Caenorhabditis elegans: one gene and its partners. The protein of the gene in region 4 interacts with the protein of the main gene of each other region in a pairwise test. Each region holds a gene or a part of one and is shown on either strand. Other genes may lie near its edges.

Evidence for each region.
Region 1: the proteins of eya-1 (region 4) and C35E7.2 interact in a two-hybrid assay, tested with the Caenorhabditis elegans proteins (2 studies listed by BioGRID).
Region 2: the proteins of eya-1 (region 4) and unc-39 interact in binary tests that used the Caenorhabditis elegans proteins (3 or more experiments, as listed by UniProt).
Region 3: the proteins of eya-1 (region 4) and C02F12.8 interact in binary tests that used the Caenorhabditis elegans proteins (3 or more experiments, as listed by UniProt).

Annotation. Positions count from the first base shown.
Region 1 is NC_003279.8:10,839,184-10,845,191, forward strand, and holds C35E7.2 (Reverse transcriptase domain-containing protein), read left to right. Parts: upstream 1-1,914; 5' UTR 1,915-1,937; coding exon 1,938-2,793; intron 2,794-2,994; exon of another isoform or gene 2,995-3,237; coding exon 3,238-3,504; intron 3,505-3,553; coding exon 3,554-3,646; intron 3,647-3,939; coding exon 3,940-4,674; intron 4,675-4,979; coding exon 4,980-5,039; intron 5,040-5,084; coding exon 5,085-5,197; 3' UTR 5,198-5,483; downstream 5,484-6,008. Other genes in the region: C35E7.11 (Glutamic acid-rich protein-like), read left to right, coding at 5,605-5,674, 5,717-5,794.
Region 2 is NC_003283.11:14,371,181-14,376,425, forward strand, and holds unc-39 (Homeobox protein unc-39), read left to right. Parts: upstream 1-1,893; 5' UTR 1,894-2,208; coding exon 2,209-2,511; intron 2,512-3,079; coding exon 3,080-3,209; intron 3,210-3,581; coding exon 3,582-3,931; intron 3,932-4,287; exon of another isoform or gene 4,288-4,308; intron 4,309-4,394; coding exon 4,395-4,619; 3' UTR 4,620-4,701; downstream 4,702-5,245. Other genes in the region: npr-43 (G-protein coupled receptors family 1 profile domain-containing protein), read right to left, coding at 4,959-5,046, 5,097-5,245. UniProt on the Caenorhabditis elegans protein: Probable transcription factor required for differentiation and migration of neuronal cells, such as RID and CAN neurons. Specifically, plays a role in the terminal differentiation of RID peptidergic neurons. Also required for CAN neuron axon guidance.
Region 3 is NC_003284.9:3,689,632-3,694,941, forward strand, and holds C02F12.8 (uncharacterized protein), read right to left. Parts: upstream 3,608-5,310; 5' UTR 3,603-3,607; coding exon 3,501-3,602; intron 3,448-3,500; coding exon 3,196-3,447; intron 2,874-3,195; coding exon 2,364-2,873; intron 2,046-2,363; coding exon 1,576-2,045; intron 1,528-1,575; coding exon 1,220-1,527; intron 1,175-1,219; coding exon 915-1,174; intron 861-914; coding exon 699-860; 3' UTR 512-698; downstream 1-511.
Region 4 is NC_003279.8:14,228,316-14,232,961, reverse strand, and holds the start of eya-1 (Protein phosphatase eya-1), read left to right. Parts: upstream 1-1,601; 5' UTR 1,602-1,719; coding exon 1,720-1,737; intron 1,738-1,931; exon of another isoform or gene 1,932-1,973; intron 1,974-3,860; exon of another isoform or gene 3,861-3,930; intron 3,931-4,646. UniProt on the Caenorhabditis elegans protein: Tyrosine protein phosphatase. Acts probably as a transcription regulator in the embryonic and postembryonic development of several tissues including pharynx, vulva and gonads. Required for the development of anterior tissues during late embryogenesis.

The DNA of each region.
Region 1 (6,008 bases), 3.4 Mb from region 4:
TGGAAAACTCACGCAAACGCTCACAGAAACTCACAAATCTACATATACGCCTTCTGATTAAAGCGACAGCAGAGATGTTTTCTCTCGTGTTGTCTAACATCTCTTTTATTTATTTTTTGCGTGAAAGCTGGAGCTGAGAGAGAAGAAAACGGATTCTTGTTTCGCGCATTCTTTTCGAGAACCCCAACAAACATTTTTTGACGCCAAGAACCCTTGCTAGCTGGAATTCAAGTTCCTGGTAGGCTCCAGATAGGCCTGGTAGGTACGTAGGCACCCCTGCCTGCTGATTATTTTTTTGCATTTAGGCGCGAGCTCTGGTGTTTCCCGTTTATACAGTGTAGGCTTACGCATTTCAATTTGTGTAAATTTTAGCAATTCTAATTTGATAGTAGTCATGTAGAAGGTTGCTTCGAGGCTCACTTTTAAACTTTCCTTTTTAACTTTGAAACAGGTGCCATTTTACAAAAAGTTTAGCTACAAAGGAGCACTTTGAACTAGTTAAAATTAGATCTAAAAAATTCGAAAAAATCAAAATTTTAATTGATAGCGTTGGGTTAAACAATTCTAGAACGTATGCCTTTCCCTAAACATTCTCAAAACCTTTAAAAATCTGCAATGCTATGTAAATCTACTATTTGAGCAATTTTATGTGAGTTCACATCGTGCAGGCTCAAAAACCTATGCCTACCTACGCCTAACTACTGTCAAATTACACATGTATAACTTCAAAAATTTGAAACAATTTTTTTACAATTATCTTTTTCATTCTATATAAATCCGCAGATTTCCTGAAATTCTACTCCACGCTCTCTTACCACCTTTCTATGTTTCTCTATATCTCCACCTCTCCGCCCTTTCCAAAAGCAAGCTCCGCCCCTTTAATGCGCACCGCCCTTCCATCCATCACGTACTTCTTCATTCCTTCTTCTTCTACTTTGATAATATTTCTCCCTGCTCTCATGTTGCTATGGTTTCTTTGTCTCTTCTGTGCTCCGCGAGCTCTCATTGATTTCCTTCGTTTCTATTTTCGACTTTTCATTAAGCTTTTCATTCCTTTATCCATCTTAGTTAGGCTTAAACTTTTAATATTCTTTTGAGCCACCCATGCATGCTTCCAGAAAACTGAAAAATGTGATATTTGATTTAATCTGACATTAATTAAATTTAGCATTTATCTGAAAATTTATCTGAAATGTTTCTCCTGTCATTTTATATCGTTCATTAATTTCAAATGTTTTAAATTGGTTTCTAAATAATTTAATTTTCCTATTTAATTTTCCTATGTATTTCTCATACTTTTATTTCTAGATTTAACTTGTCAATTTTCTTAGTACATTCTTTCTATAACTCACAATCTGAAACAGAACATATTTTAAAGTAATGAATTACTTTTCTTCACTTTACCACTTTTCCCAATAAATTATATTGATGAAAAATTGTCTGAAACAATTTCAAATTTCTACAAAACGGGAAAAGCATTTAAAAAACAATATTTCACGGGGAAAACTACTAATAGAACATTTCTCTACAATCTACATCTATATGAGCAACGCCAAATTTCCAACTATCTCATTATAATCCCCTTGAGATAATATAGTTGGGGAACACCTAATTAAATCTGAAAAGTTCAAAACATCAATTGGAACTGCACTATTTTCATCTAATAGTAGCCTAGAGAGTCCAAGGATCAACTCAACGAACAGTTCAAACTATATATAATCCCATTGAAGACGCAGACAACGAGGCACTCTTGCTGTCTGCGTTTCTCACACTATTAAAGGGTATTAACTTTCTACTTTCATAACTTGCCTAGATACTTATCAATTTTTTTCATGACAGCCTTTTTGGAATTTCCAGTTAATCTTGATTTGCTGTCTTGTTTCTCAGCATTAAATTCTCAATATATTAATTTAAAGCCTGAAATTTTCAGGTAAAAAATGAACACCAGTGAATACCAAAATCCTCCTTCAAAATACTCAACATCAACCCAAACACCCCAGCTACCAAAAGTAGCCCGCATCGTACCAAAATATTCAGTCGTTTGCGAGAATTCACTTGAAGTTGTTCTCTTTGGAACAGATAATGGAGTCTTTGGAAAGTACATCTTCAAGAATAATGAGTTTCTAAAAGCTCCAGATTGCGTTTGCCAATCTTGTTTGCGGGCTGATGACATCAACCTCTTTACTGATTCGGTGGAAGTTCAGGGATTGAGAGCAACTGACAAATTACACAGAGGCATTGATGGACAACGGTTGATGTGTATTGGAATATCATGGATTGGATGTAAGCAGTCAGGAGTTATGGACACATTTGTGAATATACATGGAATAATTGGAAAGTACCGAAAAACACCGGAAGGCTTGATACTGAAAGACGAAAACAAGGCCATTGCGCTTCTACCAAATTTTCCGATTCAGAATACTCAAGCAATTATGGAGAAGGATTTGCTTCTTCTCAACACCAAAATATGCCCTCATGTATCCCAAAAAATCTACTTCTGCAAAACCACAAAATCAGAAAGTGTACACCAAGTCGTTCTCAACAAATTAACCCTCCACTTTGAAATTATCAAATGTTCAGTCTGTACTTATGATAAAAACTTGGAATTGGAGTATTATGACAAGAAGACGAAACTTTATGCGGAAACGGTGAGATGTGAGACGACGGAAAAGTTTGCAATTGTGCGATCAGCTAAAAATGAGAATATTTTTCTGTCGACTTACTGTCCGAAGACACTTGACCTAAAACTCCAAAGCCCAGTTGCAATGGAAGAGAGAAAATTGACAAATTCAGGTTGGTGTTTTGAATACGTTCTTGCATGTTTATTTGATGAATTGCGAATTTTTCATAACTTCGAATTTTATCTTTCAACTCTCTTTTTCTATAGCCTAATAGATATTGGGTTGGAAGTTGGTGGGGCAAGGGTAGTATCAAGGTACTGTCGTGACACGGAGGTGTAATGTAAGATTGTTGTAGGATTACTGTAGTTTTTGAAAAAAAAAGCGAGTTTCAGTCTTTTGAAGATGTGTTAAGTTCTTGTGAAAAAATAATAAAAAATATGAACATTTATCTGCAGTATTTTCCAGTAAATCACAAATTCCAGTCAGTATTTGGTGTACTTTTTAATCATTTCAATAAAATTGAACATTGATTCCAAATAAACCAAATTATTTTTTTATACTTTACGTATGGTATATATGAACTGTACAAAATAACTTTAAAATACGATAATTTCAGAATCAAATAATTGGTACAACACATCAAAAAGTTGCGAGGAGAATATCCTCGAAAAAATGTGCCCAGCCAATGAAAATCACCAAACTCTTGTTGCCACGGAAGGCGCAACTTTTGGCACAATATACTGGATGATGAATGAGAATTATAAAATTGATCCATTCAAAATTGCGCCAACAATTCCTGGAACTGGAACATTTCTCACCATCTTGTCCAGTTTGGACGTTTTTAAAAGCCGGAAAGTGATTGCAAGCAAGTTTACTTTATTCGGTGAGTTTTCGAAGAGTTTCAATTTTTAAAAAACTGAAAAGAATTGCAGAGAACGTGACTCCTAAAGACTTGATCGATCACAGATGTGAGGATTGTGAGAACAACGTGCGTCCTACAGACGCATGGCTTGAGTCTGATAAAGGTAATCAATTGAACTGATCACAATGTAGAGTAGAGTAGAAAATTTGGTTAAGCTAATTGTTTTTCAGTCTACCATAGAAGCCCCGTAGAACTATTAAAAATTTGAGTAAAAATAATTAATTTTCAAATCTAAAAATCTGAACATCTGCTTCAAACATATTCGTTTAGTACTATTTCGATGCAACTAATTTGCTAAATATTTATATTTGTAGCCAATTTCTGAACCAACTGAACATTTTCTGATAAATCTTGAGCAAGAAATTGGCTTCAAAAGTCGCAATGAATATTTTTAAGGAAAACCTACTCTACGCAATCAAATGCATCCGGATTACCACCCGACTTACAAAAAGAATTCCGAATATGAAGATGCACAGGAGGATTTTGATGATATTGAGCTGAAAGTTTTCCAAAAATTGTGTAATATGGAGGACAACTTGTTCAAGCAGATAATCGATTTTGAAAAACCAAAGGAACAGTTTACCGCACCACCACACCCACAAATGACTCACCGTGTTGCCCAACCTCATTATGTTCCAGTGGAATATTTCAATCACACGATATCAGACTTGCTTAGACAAATATCAGGTCTGCAGCATGAGCAAGCTATGCAAAATGGACAAATGCAGCATATGGCCAATGAAATTCGAAGCATTGGAAATGCAGTTTGCAGTCTACACTCATCACAACTACAACAGCCGCCTAACAGTGCCGCAAGCATGTTTCCGTACCCGATTCATCCGATGCCTTCAACCTTTCCACAGCAAGCACCTCATGCTCCAAATGCTCCTCAAATGACAGCCAACTCAATGCAAAGCATCGCAGAGCTCATACTCGCGCAAAGAGGAATCGCACCAAGAAGAGAAAGACGTCTCACAGAAGGTCCTAAAAAGTATAACAGAGTGATCCCACCTTCACCCCGAATTCCAAGTTCAACTGATAAAAAGGAAATGCTGAAAAAATCGAATGATCGGTTTGATAAGCTTAGAGAAGAAGTTTCCGATGTAAGGACACAATTGTCTGGTTTGGAAGGTACGTTGTTTCTGTCAGACATTTTCAACTTTCTAGAGCACCCCGCAAGCTTTTTCTCGCACACTCTCAACCTTCTGTCGCAGAAATTTGTATAAGTATAATCACGTGCAGACGACTATACGATCTCTAAGGGATCCTTGATGCTTTGAGCTTGAAGCTTTTGATCTTCAAACAGGACAGAAATCAAATTTGGAACTATCAAAAGGCATTTAGCGCTCAAAAAATAACGGCGAAAAAAGATTAGAAGCGCGTTAGCTACCAAGAAAATAAGCTCGCCAGAAAAGTATAAGCCCCTATATTTCCAGACACTACTTTCAAAAAGCCGAAAAAGCTGCACTTCCTTGAACCAGACGAAGAATCAGAGAGTGAGAATTGAAATGATAAATCTCAGTTTAATTCTCAAGTTTCAGGCGACGAGAACGGCAATGATGTGGACGAATTTTCAGAAGCTGATGATGATGATGAGGACGTGGATCGAGAAATGAAAGTTCTTGTCGAGTCACTCAAAAACCGCGTTCAATAGTTTTTTACCCCAAAACTCAATCAAACTACTCTCAAAAATTGAAATTCCTATATCTTTTGATTTCAATTGTGCATGTTTTTTCTTATCTTCTTCCTGTGTTCTCATCCCCAATTTTCTGGTTTTCATATGGAAATCTGTGACAAAACGATTCCATATCCTCAATTACACATAGAAACCCCATTTTTACTGTACGTTTCCAGCTACCTTTCCTTTCATAGTATCCTAGTTTCACTTGAATTTCCTGCTTTTTCGTCCTGCTATAAAAAGTTATACAACTGGGAAATAACCCCGGGAAACTAAATTAAACTTATTTAAAGAGTTTATAATCTCTGCTTTTTACTTTTCACTTTTAATTTATTTTTTTTTAAACTAAATTTTCAAGCATTTTTAGCAACTGCAAACCAGCCATGTCCGAGATCGTCGAAGTTCCAGATTCTCCGCCAAGATCTCCGGAAGTCGAGTGCCCATTCAGTGAGGGTGAGGAAAATTTATCTGAAACCCTGATAATTTTTTTTTCAGAAGGTTCCTCCGAAAAGTCGATGGAGACTAGAAAGCGGGTCGCTGAAGAGGCTGAGGGGAAAGAAGGCGACGATGATGGTTAGTATAGTTTGAATATTTAAATTGCAGACAAACTCGGAATGCATTTAAATTTATTAGAACAAACTGGAAATTATTTTTGGTAAATTTTCAAAAAGTTCATCCGTTTAGTTTTTGAGTGATTTCAGTTTTTACCGAAATTTTTCTATGTTGAACTAAAATATACGACATTCTTCTGTTATTTGCAAGACGTCGCCAATGTTTTCGAATTAGT
Region 2 (5,245 bases), on a different chromosome or scaffold from region 4:
ACAATAGATATTATTGTTCCTTATAATTCATCAAACAATATTAATCAGCATTTTGCATTTGTTTGAAAGTACCAAATTTTGTAAAAGCCTTGAATAGGGATGGCAAACCGAGCGCCCTGTTTTTCAAAAGTAATTTCTCGAGTTTTAATTTGGTTTTAAAAAAACGATGTTCAGATATTGGAACAAGCCGAAACTATCGAATCAGCTAAAAAACAGGCAACGAATACGACAAGTATCCGTAAAACCAAACTCCGTAGTTATTCCGATGCGCCGGCTATAGTTCTGCTCACCTCTGAAGCAAATTCATTGGGCAGATTGATGGTATAACTAAATTTTAAAAAAGCTAAATAAATTAAAATGTTCAAAAATGATTCGTCAGTTGACATTTTTTGATAATAGATACATCAGAAAACATATTATACAAGTTAATACTGCATGAATTGAAATGTAAAAAAAGAGTTTACAATGGGAATGTAGCATAAGTACCACCCACAGTCAACTGCGAATTTACGACAAAAAATAAAGTTACAAAAGTTTAGAAAAAACAATGTAATTATCAGTTTATCTGATATCCCGTATTTTTATATCTTGGTTCACTTTGGTTTTATCAAAAATTTGTCAACTGACAAAATACTTGTCACAATTTTTTCTACATTTTACCAGTAAAATTTGTTTTAACTAAAACCAAAGAAAACCGAAATATAAACTGTCAAAATAAAACAATGGGGATGTAATTTTATTAGGTAAAATATGGTGACAATAAATAGCCAATATCAAATCTACAAAAGAGGAATAGTTGATGTACACTACTAATGAAAGCAAATGGTATAAAGAATACGCCTCTTTGCATTATTGACCGACTACCGTATGCTCGTCAATCAATGTTTTGCTAGGAGAAAAGAGCACGTCAGTTCAATTGTTGAGGACTGTAGAAATTGGTGACAGATGTGATGAAAAACGAGAACATGATTATCAATTGGATTACGTGGGTACTTTTTTAATTGAAGTCACTAACTATAAATAAAACACTTGGAATTTCTTTTAGCCGGCTTTCTCGAAGTTCATATGTTGATAAATATAAAAATAGAGTTTCAATATTTCTATTTGCTCTAAATTCTTCAAAACTACCGAAAAATTAATTATTACCCAATTAAATACTATAAAAAATTAATTTCTTAATGAGACCTCTTGAAACCTTCCTGCAATTTTTTTTGACGGTTCAAAACTTTTCAATTTTCCCAGTTGGTCCGTGTCGCAGCGGTTAAATTAAGTGGGTGCAAGAAAGGTAATAAAATTTGTGCACACTTAGCCATTATAAAAAAACAACAAAAACTCAAAATAAATAACCAAAATAAGCAAGATATAGAATTAATTGTATAAAAGATAATTTCCGGTCACTGTCAACAAGCTGTGAAAATTAGAAATTATAGCTAAAACCTATTTTATTGCAGTCCACTTGAACTTTAAAAATGATTAAAACTTTGTGAAATTTTGAAGAATTCGTATAAAAATTCGGTCTTATGAGATCAGTTTAAGTTTTGTAGTGAAAAAAATACATTTCAGTTCTCCAAGTAACACTGTTTTATTTCTTCTAACTATACGAGCAAGTTTCAAGTTCATTTACGCCCACAAAAATTTCAAAACTATTCTCCCAAAAATGTGTATCTTATTATTCACTACAGTAATCTGAGCCCATGTTTCTTTCAAAATGTTCATCCCCTCATTCCACGACAAAACGAGAATGTTTAGCTATTAACTGGCTGCTTAAAAATTCAAAAGTCTCAATGAAAGGAAAGGTAATCTGAGACTGCACTTTGTTTCCATATTTCTTCTTCTTCTTTTCAGCTCTTCTTATTTTTTCAAACTTCAGCCTCTTCGTCATTTCGTTCCGGTCTCAGCCATACTGTCAGGAGTCAGTCCGGAAATCATCATCCAATTAATATCTGCAGAGGCCCATCCTCACCTCCTAACAACGTGAGGGCTCCTATTTCAAACGAGAAGCTACTCGAATTCGACACTTTTATTCTCGCCTATAATTAATCCTCAACACAAATTTCCCTCCCACCACCTCATCCCAAAAGAGCTCTACAGGTGCCTCCCCCTCTTGGACTGTTGTACCGTACCCCTCAACACAATATTGCTCGATTAGCCCCGCCCATTTGGTCTTCTAGGAACGTTTGCAAGATGAGTAGTATTCCACCTTATTTCATGACAGACCATCCGCCAATTGACACTTCTTCATATTTCGATTGTTATCAACAACATCAGCTGCCACTTCAATATACATTCACTTCATCTTCAAATTCAAACACCTCTAACTCTTCAACATCGCCTTCTCACATCTCGGATCAATTTTCATCATCTGGAGGTCCGCCCTACGAGCTTTCGTCTCATATTCTGACACCGTCTTCTGTAATTCCGACTCCTTCTCCGTCGGTGGCATCTGCTTCAATCAGCTCACCGACTATTCCAGCTTTTGGGTGCACAATGTCCGAATATTCAATGGAACAGGTTGGTTGTGGTATTAAATTTTTAGCGAGGGAAATCAAATATCAGAACTTGAAAAAAAGGTTTCTACTCGAAGTCTAACTATTTCGAAATGTCACAGTTTAGTGCTGGAAACCTGGCTCTGGACGATACGGTGTTTTTTTCAGGTGTTTTTTGACAGTTTCCATGATAGTTGACTTGTTGTAATAACTGGAAGCTGTGTTTTGTTAATAAAAAAGTCTAGAACGTGGAATGAATTCTCGAAAAAGTACCACTTGAAAAACAAAACTTCCGGGTTGCCAGCCATATCACAAGCCGACTTGTTCGCTTTTAATGTTCTCAAAATTTTCGTTGAATTTGAAAGTTTAGTGTTTCACAAATTTTTTTGGTGATAGATGTGTATACCTAACAGGCTTACCGCAAATTTCACAAAGTCAAAAATACATTCAAAAACTTGTGAAATCTTAAATATTCATAACTGTCTCAAAGTAACTTTTTTTAAAAACATGTTCAACATGCACATAGATCAACTGTAGTTTTTATGATTCTTGAGTTTCATCTAAAAACTCAAATTTATTCCCAACAATTTTAGATGGAAGCAATCTCCACATCCCTGTTTCAAGCTAGAGATGGTGATCGATTGGTAGCATTCTTCAAGCAGTTGGAGTCATTGTACGGACCAAATGCAGTAGATCATTTGCGAAGTGAAGCTATCATCGTAGGTATGTTTGATTAGATAGTGATATTTTTGAAAATACTTTGTTCCGCAAGTATCTGATATAGAACTTTACAAAGACTCATTTCTTCAAACTGATCCATTTTTTGCTATAAGAAATTTCTAAAAAATATCCTATAGCAGAAAAAGTTGCTCCCGTAATCCTTCCGACTTGAAAAACTGCGGTAATATCTGCTGTCAACACTCTCACTATTGCTATGTATTTTAGTTCTTCTATATCAATAACGCAATTTCCTCGATTTTGAATAATACCTCATTCGATTGCGTTATATCCTGCTCTTCTCAAATTCCAAACCATTTATTGCGTTGACTCTTTTTAGTACCCGCCATTCCATCTAACCCTATTCTCCAATTTCAGCCTACACATATGCCTTATATCATTCCAATGAATTCGAGACACTCTTCCACCTTCTCTCGAATCGACATTTTCAACAGCGTCATTACAATGATCTACAAGATATTTGGCATCATGCAAGGTACAAGGAAAGTCAGCTGAAACGTGGCAAAGAACTGAATCCAGTGGAAAAATATCGGCTGAGACGAAAGTTTCCGGCTCCGAAAACAATTTGGGATGGTGAGGAGATTGTGTACAGTTTCAAGGATTCGAGTAGGAAATTTTTGAAACAATTTTTCCGCAACGTCTCTGAATATCCGACCCAGGAGCAGAAAAGAGAGATTTCAAGAGCAACAGGACTCAAAATTGTACAGGTTTGTGAGAAAAATATTAACTTCAAAATTGCTTATTTAGTCAGTAAATTAAGGAGAAGTTAGTAGAATCCCTGGGTAAAACTTTTCACATTTTAACTGACTATGTACAGTACTTATTACCAGCTGCCAAGTCGTAAACGCTTGCGTGCTATCCTTGTCTGAGTTGAGTTTGCTTATATTTTTCCAACAATGATTGTAAAAAGGAATGCGTGAAAAGACAGTTGCCGACTAGTCGCAACTGAGCAGACGGCTTCTCCGAAAGAATTTGTTTATAAGATCTGCAAGGTCAAATTGTAAGGATCATAAATTATCTGTTTCATTTTATTGTCAAATTTCGAGTAGAAGATTAGTGTGATTACAAGGATTCTATGGTAGAACAAACTAAAATAGGATCTGAAAAAGCCGGAGCGTAAATTAGTACATGGTAAAGTAATCTCGAACAAATTTCAATTTTATTTTTCAGATTTCAAATTGGTTCAAAAACCGTCGCCAACGGGACAAATCGAACAATTCAGCCAAATGCTCCCCACCTTCCAGCTCGAGCAGCACTAATGGTGGCAGTGACTTTCTTCCAATAATAACTCCGCAAAGCTTTAACTTGGCAGCTGCTCCATTCAATATGAACATGATCTATGGTACATTACGTGACAGTCAGTCTGATAATGATCAATTCACTTTCAATCCGTAATTTTTTTTAAAATAAAAGTAAAGTATTTACCCATTGTATATTTGAAATGCTTTAAAAGTGCAAAAAGAATAAACTGTTATTTTTAGAAGTTTGCCAGGCTATAATTTTTTTTTTGATATTTAAATCTGAATTCAAGAATCTGGAAAAATATCAGAATTTCAAGGTTTCTTGCAAGGTTTTTTGAAACACTGAAAAAATAAAAACAAATTTATTGAAACAAAAAACCGTAGCACATATTGCGGACATAAATAAATAGAGACAAAATGCAAGATCACAAATAACCCCGAAACAAAATATATTAGAACTTCGTAGATGTCGGATATTGGCATACTATATAATCTATCCAGTAAGTGAAGTGCTCAAAATCTCCTTCGCCTCCTTCTTCACAATTCGACACCGAATCCTTCGTTCCAGCCATCTGAAACACCTCAAAATCGGAGGATTTTTTAGAATCTCGGAGCTCAATGATACACTCACTTTTCGAATCGAACTTTGCCGAAATAGGCCAATGTGTTGGTTGCCGAGTTGAGAATGACAAGGAAGTCTGAGATTCGCGTGACTTTTGTCATGAATGGGCCGAAGTTTATACTGTTTTCAATGAGAACCTCGTAGAGATCAATCAATGT
Region 3 (5,310 bases), on a different chromosome or scaffold from region 4:
TGAATGTGATGACGGTGAGCATAACGCTGCCGAAATGTGTACGGATTGATTGAAAAATAGATTAAGGGGGCTATCAATTTAGATTTATTGCTTTAATTTTTCAATTTGTTGTAAGCCATAAGGAAAAAATGAGCAAAAGTTGTATCCTCTTCGATAGCGTTTTTTTTTTTCAAAAGATTTCGTCAGCCTAATTTCAAAACATACAGATTGGATAAAATGTTTCAATTTCAAAAATATTTCGTAGACAAAAATAGCTATATTTAACTTCTTCATCTAGTTTCACTTAAGCACGATCTCTTTTGATTTTTTGATTTTGATTTTGATTTTGGGAATTAAATGTTTGAGGTAATAATAAATAATCAACAAAATAATAATGTCCGTCTGTCCAGTTTGCCTAATTTGTTTGTGAAGTCAAAAACGCGTCTCTTGAGTTATTCAACCCTTTCTAAACTTGAATTTAAAATTGGTAGAAGTTTGAAACTGGTTAGAGCCTCTGAAAAGATGAAGAAATACAAGACTAGACATTTTTATTCTAAAAATCTCAATACATAAATTGATTTACCCATAAAGTCAATAAATTAAAATTGAAGACAATGACACGTAATTAAATGGACTGAAAAATACAACTGAATGGTCATGGTTAATCACAGTTAAAACATCTGATCACTGGGTACAATGTGTACAAACAATAACGGAATCTAGAAAAGGTTGAAGAAAATTTCTTCGTAATACTCTAATTTGTCAGTAGAATCGCTGGTGAGACCGGCCAAAAAGCATAGTTCCGGAAGAATAGCTGGCGGCAAGTTCAGCTGAAGTTGCTCGTAGATTGTAATACGCGAGAGACTTTGCGGACGTTGAACCTGTAAATAGTCAGTTTGAGACACTTAAAAGTACCAAAATTCATTAAAACTCACCATTTTGAATGCCAAAATGCGTTTTTCAATAAACTGTAACACTTTGTTCATTTCATTCGAATTTTCTTCCCAAGTTTTCACAAAAGTATCCACCGTTTCATAGAATTTTTGATATGAGAAATTTTCGTGAAAAATTGGACGACCCGATTCTGAAATCTTCTTTGCTCTGTTAGCAATTGCCATTTGAACTGCATGCAGGATTTGGGGACTGATCAACGATGGCGGTGGATTCGAGACGGGTCTTTTTCCTCGCTTCTTTTCTGAAATTGAAAATATTAGTACCAAATGGCGATGATGAATCTCACTTTGGTCTTTCTGTCCTGAGCTTGAGTAGTCACCACCAGCTTGCTCCACATGCTTCTGTCTTTCTCGATATGCTGCTTCCAGTACATCGTCATCAGTTTCCAATTGATTTGCCTTCTGTGCAGCCATAAGGCGCTTTTCTTTTTTTGTCAACTTTTTCCTGGCGTCGGGTAGAGCAATAGTTGATGCTTCTTTGCTATCCTCGTCAATGGTGGAAGCGGCCAAAGTCTGCTGACATTTTTGCAATGGTTTTTCGACTTTTGACAATGGCAGCGGGTAGACGAGTTTTTGTGTTTTCTGTGGTACAAAACTGAAAATTACAGAATTTATCATTTTAGCAGTAATATCAAAAAATCACCATTTCTTCCTGCCCGTCGCCTCCTGCCATGATTCCAAAACGTCATCCGACGTATCCAGATACTTAATGATTTCAGATATTGACGTATCCCTGTCATCATCAACAATCAACGAGTCAGTCGTCATTTCAGATACAGGTTCAGATTTGATTTCAACTACGCTCATGTTATCCGAGTGTTCCAAAGTTTCCGGCTCAATCAGTGTTTTCGAAAGATCAAGGTTCTCCATTATATCATCAACATCATCTAATGGTGGCATTTCAGACATTGTACTGCTATAAGGTTCTGGCTCATTTGCAACACTTTCCGTGTCTACTGAATCCAAGTCGCAATCTTGCTGACCAACAGGCGTCAACGTTCCATAATCTTCGTCTTCCGATTCTTCCCTGACACTATCAGTCATGGGTGATAACGAACCATTTCCAACACTAGATCCATTGATGGGCGGTCTGCTGGACATAGATATGTCGCTCTGAAAAAACCATTTTGTAATATAGCATTATAAATTAGTCAAGTGCTGCGTGAGTGTGTTCAAGTTTAAACATTTGATCATTATCACTTTCAGGAACATTTAATGATAGTTGTCATAAATTTAGGAGTGTGTCTGATATTCATGGTCAGACAAGAAGCGGGTTACTAAAATGGTTTTAGATGCAAACCAGTTAATCTCCCAACTTTTAAATTTTTCATATAACTTCCCTAAAAGCGGTCATGTTCAAATTTTCAAATTCTGGCATACCCAAGCAGCAGTTAAGTTGTTTTTGTTGTAGTCGATAATATTGTTTATTACCTGTCCGGAAGAAAACGATTGTGATGAGCATACTGATGATCCCGATTGTGACATGGAAACGACGCATACAGGTGCGCTGACAACTCGACAATATGCAACTCCATTGTTATCATAAATAATGTCTGGGAATCCTTCGTTGGCAGGTGGACCAGAATATTGACTGTAAGACGGTGATGGAAAGATGGGAGACGAGAATCCATATCCAGAAGGTGGCTTTGAAGTATCAATTTGAGGTGGTGACATTGAATACGATCCTTGCGAAACCATTACAGCTCCGACTGGCATCATGGTTGGTGGAGCTGGCACAAATTGGGGAGGATTGTAATTCTGGGAACCAACAGGCACGTGTGGATGCATAGGCTGGTTTACAATCTGTGGGTGTGCAAATCCTGAATTCGACGCTGCCAAATCCATAGTGTATGGAGGAACAGGTTGCGGAAAGACGTTTGGATTTGATGCAAACTGTGCCGGAGGTGGCATGTAATTACCATGTTGAGCAAATGGGTGTACCTGAAAATTGCAATTGTTTCAAAGTTTTAAAGAAATTCTTATGGCCTTGGGGTTTTTAAACAGTGAAAAACTACATTTCTAAAAATTAAAACTTGTTTACTCCTCTCGATTGAAAAAAAAACCGATTTTTTCCATTAAATCAACGAGTTTCTAAAATCATTAAAAGTTTAATTGTCAGCTTTTAGTTTCGCCGTTCGCTTAATTTTTATTGCAATCTAGTATTCCCATTTCAAAAAATTATCAACGAAATAAGCTTTCAAATTGCCTGAGATTGGAAATTCTCAATATCTCATGAACAAACTTTTCAAATTGAAAAACAAACCTTAAATGAAGCATCCAACGTGCTCACCAAATTGTTCTGATATCCGCAATTTTGATAAGGATTTGGGCACTGATTATTTTGGACGGGAGCGGCGAACTGTTGCTGCATGAGATCATCAACGTCTTTTGAGTTCAACAGAACCTCATTCTCAAAATTCCACAGCGCAATAGGATCATTTGATTCAAAAGCTCTTTGAACGATTTCCCCGTAACTTGGATCCAGACGATGAAGATTATTGTAGGAAAAGAGAATCTGTAAAAAATTATTATATATAAGAATATACAAACGCTCTAAACATTATGTACCTTCTCCAATTGATTTCTTCTTTGAACACTATTCCTGAGAAAGTCCTCATGTACTTCACTCGAGTGTCCTTCGGTTTTCCAGCGAGATCTATCGTTTTGCATAGCTTCTGAACAAAGTTAACATGAAAATTTGTCAGAGTTTAAAACAACTGATAGGTGCAATATTGAGAGCCTGTTAATAATTGAAAATTTAAATTGTAGGAAAAACCGAATAAAAAAAACATATAATTTAGTGCTTACAACATTCAGTTTTACTATTTATTTTATGAGTAAAATTATAACGAATAGAAGCTGGCGGTGTCACATTTCAAAACTAGATCAAAAGATTTGCTGAATTAAAATAAAAAAGAGAAATGTTATAGCTATTTGTTTGTTTTTAACCTACTCTTGTTACCGCAAAAAAACATTGTGAGCATTTTACACAAAATTATATAATTTTTGAATTTCCTTTGCTAGTAATTGTTGGGAAAAATCAAAACAAATTCTTGAAGCTAGATTGCATTCCAAGTAACATGGTTAGTTCAAAACATAGAATTTTATGAGAAATTCAAACTTTGAAAGAATCATGCATCGCGTTGGGGCTCTCGAAAAATAATGTCTAGGTATCTAGATAGCTAGATTCATATCATAGCTATAGATTTAATTTTTGCTTGTAACTACAATTGTGGAAAAATGGGAATATAAGAGTACCATTGAAAAAAATAGCACAATGTATAAATTGCACGGTTGGCATGCAAAATTTTGGTTGGAAATTCAATGAGTAGAGCTAAAAAAGTTTTAGTTTTGCCCAAGGATAAAAAAAAGGAAACCTGACTCAATTTCTGTCAGTGGAATTTCTAATTTGGTTAGTGCATTCTGATTTGGTCAGTGCAATTACTAATTTGGTCAGTGCTTTTCGACTTTGGTCAGTGCTTTTCTATTTTGGTCAGTGCTTTTCTATTTTGGTCAGTGCTTTTCTATTTTGGTCAGTGCATAATTTTAATTTCTAACCTATTATCTGATTGAAAAAAAATTAGGAGGAACGAAGTTGAAAACTGAGGTGAACAAATGAAAGTGAAAAGACGCGCACGCAGGTGGTGGTGCTTAGTGTTTATCGTCACCCACAACAATAACTGGGTGGGTAATATGGTGAGGAAGAGGACTCGTTGGACAGGGCAAAGGGCCCCTCGGCGGATGCCACGCACGCAGCACACAAAACCCCCCTACATTCGTTCGCGCGCACACTCATAGAACACTCACACACACGCACACACACGCTCACATATAGCCAACTGCACCCCCACGTCAACAAAACACAAACACACAAACACGCACACACATGCGCTCACACGACGACACGGCATCCAGAGGCACTAGCGCAGTTAATTTTTGACGCTCTAGACTAACAATGGGACTCTTTTAACTCAATGAACATATGACAAATGTTCACGGATTCTCGTGTGATTGCGCACGAAACAGAGCGTTACGGTGGGCGCAAGGCCGTTACGGAAAATGGTAATGACGGTCATAGGTCCAATTATTATACATATGTGATAGTAAAATGTAAACAAAAACTAGCATGTTCGCAGTAAGTTTCAGAATGTAGAGAAGAAAACAGAAATCTATGTGGAAATATAATCTAGCAATCATCCTGGAACTTATCAAATGCTTTCAATGTACGACAGGTGCTAAAAAATGTAAAAATGTAGCAGAAATTTCACAGAAAAGGTAAACTAAAATCATAAAAGAACTCGCACCCCCAATTTCGCAAGAATAATTGTAAAAAAAAACAGAAGGGAGGTCATGGATATTTTTAGTGCAGCGCGAGTAG
Region 4 (4,646 bases):
AATTCGACCTGCTAATTTTTGAAAGCAGTACCTGAATTATTGAAAACTTCTTATTAAGACTTCTAATTTTATTTTGCTATTCAAATTTCATATTTTCTAGAACTTTTCAACTTTTTGTCCGACTGGCTCAGTGGGATTTTGGGTGACTACCAATTTCACCACCTGGGTTCGAGTCCGCGCCTTGGCATATTTTTTTGTTTTAGTGTTATTTGGCTAATATCGACATTCTGAATCCGAATTTCAAGGTCCCATGCCTTAAAACTCAATGGGTTTCCTCCAAAATCAATATTCCATTGCAAAATCGTCCCTCGTCCCATATACTACTAAAATTGAAGTCAGCGTCTCGACTCTGTGCTCCCGAAAACTGAAATATGATCGCTTCGCCGCTTTCGCACGCTCCCCATCTCCCTATACTCTCAGAAATGAGAGGAAAATAAGGGAAGGGGGTAAAATCAACAAATAATATCGATTTTTTGAGAAGGTATAAAAGTTCGAAAAAATCACAAAGCAGTGTGGAAATGTCTAATTTTTGACCGAATTCGAACTCGGAAAGTCGAAATTTAGTAGAATAACACCAAAAAAAAAATTATGCCACATCGCGGACTCGAACCCCGGACCTCAGATTGGTAGCTGGCTAGAATCCCACTGAGCCACTCGTACACAAAAAGAAATTAAGTTTGAGCCGACCTAGCAAGTCTTTCTGGTTTTGAGAGTTGAAAATTCGAATTCAGGAGATTTGTATTATTCTGAGAACAGCAAAACAAAAATTCATGCCACAGTGCGGACTCGAACCCCGGTCGTAAGATTGGTAGCCGGCCAAAATCCCACTGAGCCATTCGGCCAAATTTTCAGAAAAACTTGAAAATTACGGTTTGAGCTGATTTTTCAGCAATTTCGATATATTTTTTTTTTCCAATTTTGAACTTGTTTTAAAGTTGTTCAAGCTATTGGAGACCAAGCTTCGAAGGGATATATATATATCCCCAAAATGTTGAAAATGTTATTACAAATAGTATATAAGTCAGAAATCCGTGTTCAGCAGGGCTTGTATAGTCAAACCAATAAATAAAAAAATTTATGACACAGTGCGGACTCGAACCCCGGTTGTCAGATTGGAAGCCCTCCAAAATCCCACTGAGCCATTCGAGCAAATTTTCAGAAAATCGAGGTTTGAGCTGATTTTTAAAAATTTTGAGCATTTTTTGGGACTGTTCAGCATATGTCTCATGTGTGCTAGGTGCAATGAGCTATTAAAATTTAAGCTTGATAGTTTATTTTCAATAAAAAGTTAAAAATTTGTATGTTAAAAATTCGTGTTCAGCAGGGCTTATATAGTCGAACCAACAAAGAAAAAAAATTATGCCACAGTGCGGAGTCGAACCCCGGTCGTCAGATTGGTAGCCCTCCAAAATCCCACTGAGTCACTCGTACAAAACTTTTTTTTCAAAATTAATTTTTCAGAATCCGAAAATAATGCGATTTTCCACCAAAAGGCGGAGCTCCGAGCAGACAGCCGACTGGCTCAGACATACGGTAGCTCAGGGGTGAGAGCTCCGAGAGCTCAGAGAGCCGGCAGAGAAAACGAGAGCACACACACACACACAAATACATCAGAGTCAGTCTCTCCCTGCTTCTGCGTGCCAGTTGCTCAAATTTTTGCTCAACAATTTCCAAATCTATATATCTGAAATTGTTCGCAATTCCTGAATCAAAAAAAAAATGCTTCCAGATTCTGAGGTGAGTTATATGTCGCTTCAGGGCGCCCCCGGGCGCCCGGTACCCCATCCCAAAAGTATCAAATATCGGCATGGTGATGAAACTGGAGAAAGTTCTGCGAGAAGGGTCTGTCTGTAAGATGAGCTCTTCCAAGACACCCCCCCCCCCCCCCCCCCCCCCCCCTCCATGTACCTCCTTTCCCCATTCAGTACCTAGACAGTTCTAGCTAACCTCTCCTACAATGTTCTCTGTATTTTGTGAGTTTTCTAAACCGTGAACTTTAATTTAAAAAACTCGAAAAATCGATATTTCTAATCTTAAAAATGTTCCTGAATGGCGCAGTGGGTTTTTGGACAGCTTCCGAGCAGAAGCCCGGGGTTCGAGTCCCCGCTGTAGCATTTATTTTTGTTTTTGTGTGGATGAGCTATATAAATGATTCTTGGCTTTAATTTCCTTGTAACCCAGAAAAAAAGCTCTCGGAGCTCAAAACGAGTAGAACTGCGAATTTTAATGGTACGGGGTTGGGGTTTCAGATAAAAATGTAGATTTTTAAGCTGAAATAAACTTTTTTCAGAGCTTTTACTCTTCATTTTTCGCAATTTCGAAAATTTGGTCCAAGTGGCGCAGTGGGATTTCGGATGACTTCCAATCTGACGACCGGGGTTCGAGTCCGCACTGTGGCACAATTTTTTCATTTTACTGTTTCTAGATTAATTTGAGTGCGCTGAGTTCAAATTTCTATCTTTTAAACTTCTAGGTTGAAGTTTTTTAGTAGAAAATTCCGAACTTTGTTGCAACTCGGAAAAATAAACAAATCAATAATTAGCGAAGTTTATAATCCACGTAAACAAATGTCTGGGTCACCTGGTGCTCAATGAGCACACTTATTTTTGATTTTCACTATTTTTCCAAAAAGATACATTTTTAACTAGGAACTTGCTCCGAATCGCCTTTTAAACTGACATTAATCAGAAAAATTATCAAAAATTATGATGTACATCCCTATTGTAAATTTTGGATTTTTTTTTTGGTCAATTTATGCGACTAGTTGATTTTAGGCACCCCTTAGTCTTTTTCCAATACCCAGTTGAGTCTAGATACCCCCTCACGCAACCATATTACATCATTATATAGCCATCATTAGCCAACTTGCAACAGTTGGGGGGACCCCCTGTGGTGACGGGATCGAATTCAGAGGTCTTGGGGCTCTTCGATGCACAATTTCTGTGGCAAAGCAGTAAAAAATCCAAAAATAAAATTTCGAAAATTTGGTGCAAGTGGCTCAGTGGGATTTTGGTGGGCTTCCAAGCAGAAGACCGGGTTCGAGTCCGCGCTGTGGCTTAATTTTTTTTTTTTGGTGTTTTAGACTAATTTGGGTATAGGCATGTCGAAAATTTTAGTCACGAGTCAGAAAATGGCTCAATGAGCATAAGAGATGAGTTTGAAAATTTCCTGGCGCTTATTTTTAAATTTTTAAAACCCTCGTAACTTTAAAACTAGAATAGCAAGAAAAAAGTTTCCAACCACAAAATTGTAGGAAATTTTCCAAGTAATATTTTGCTAGTTGACAACTTTCCTCGAACTATGCTCTCCACCGAGTTATGGTAGAAATCGCAACACCTGTTTGGTGGCGGGGAGCTCTGAGAAAACTCCCGCGGCTCTTTTCTTACCTGTTCGCCGGCGGTCACTTGAAACTAGATACCCTTATACCTTTTTTCCGCACCGGGCTCTTACTAAGTTTTAGGGCTTTTGGGGAACCCTCCGGGATTGATTCAAGTCAAATTTTTTTGGCCGGTTTTTATCAAAATTTTAATTTTTTCACTCATTACTTCACTGCCCCCCGGCCTAGTTATCACCTCCACTACCGTGTATTTGAACAACAGCGACATATGTAAAGCTCCTGTGCTACTGCTCGCCGAGCAAACAAATACAGATGGCATTGTTTGTGAAGCACCCCGTCCGACGCCTTGAAAGTAGTGAGGGAAGAAGAAGCTGAGAGCTGTATGTAAATGGAGTGGTGGCTCGGGTTTCGTCATTATTCCTGAGAACGGAAATTCGCAAGCTTTGGAGGGGTCCTGATGGGGTTCAGAAGTCTGTAAAAGCATTGAAAAAGAAAAAGAAAAAATATATGCCACAGCGGGGGTTCGAACCCGGGCCGTGAGATTGGTAGACGCCGAGAATCCCACTGAGCCATACGGTCAATTTTTTTGAAAATTTTGAAAATCGAGGGTTTTTGTTGGTTTGTAGGCAATTTCTCCAAATTTTGAGCTGGTTTTTAAAATATCCTGGGCTCAGTGAGCATTTCAAGATTTGATAAAAAATTCCCCGGTTTAGTATAAAAACACCTAAATAAAAATATATGCCACAGCGGGGGTTCGAGCCCTGGTTGTAACTTTGGTAGCCGCTGAAAATCGCACAGAGCCATTTGGACAACTTTTCTGAAAATTTTTAAAAATGAGGGATTTTTGCTGATTTTCAATTATTTTGTTAAGTTTTTTTTTTCAGTATATTAGCCTCATTTTTAGGGTATTCTAGGCTTAATGTACATCCGAATCAAGGGTGTCATTTTTCGATTTTTCGATTTTTTTGATTTTTTCGATTTTTCGATTTTTCGATGTTTTTCAGTGAAAATTTACTGTTTTGATTATCCTTCCCTGTGGGGGAACCCTTTTTGAATAGATATTTACAACCTCCTACAACGAAAAGGTTCAAAAATAAAACATTATCAGCTGTTTTGTAAGTTTATTTCAAAAATCGAAAAATTTTTCGATTTTCGATTTTTCGTTTTTTTCGGAAAATCGAAAAACGAAAAATTTTCGATTTTTCGAATTTGAAAAAACGAAAAATCGAAAATTTTTAATTTTTCGATTTTCTGGAAAAATCGAAAAACCGACACCCTTGATCCAAATTACAAGAAAAATATATGTTCT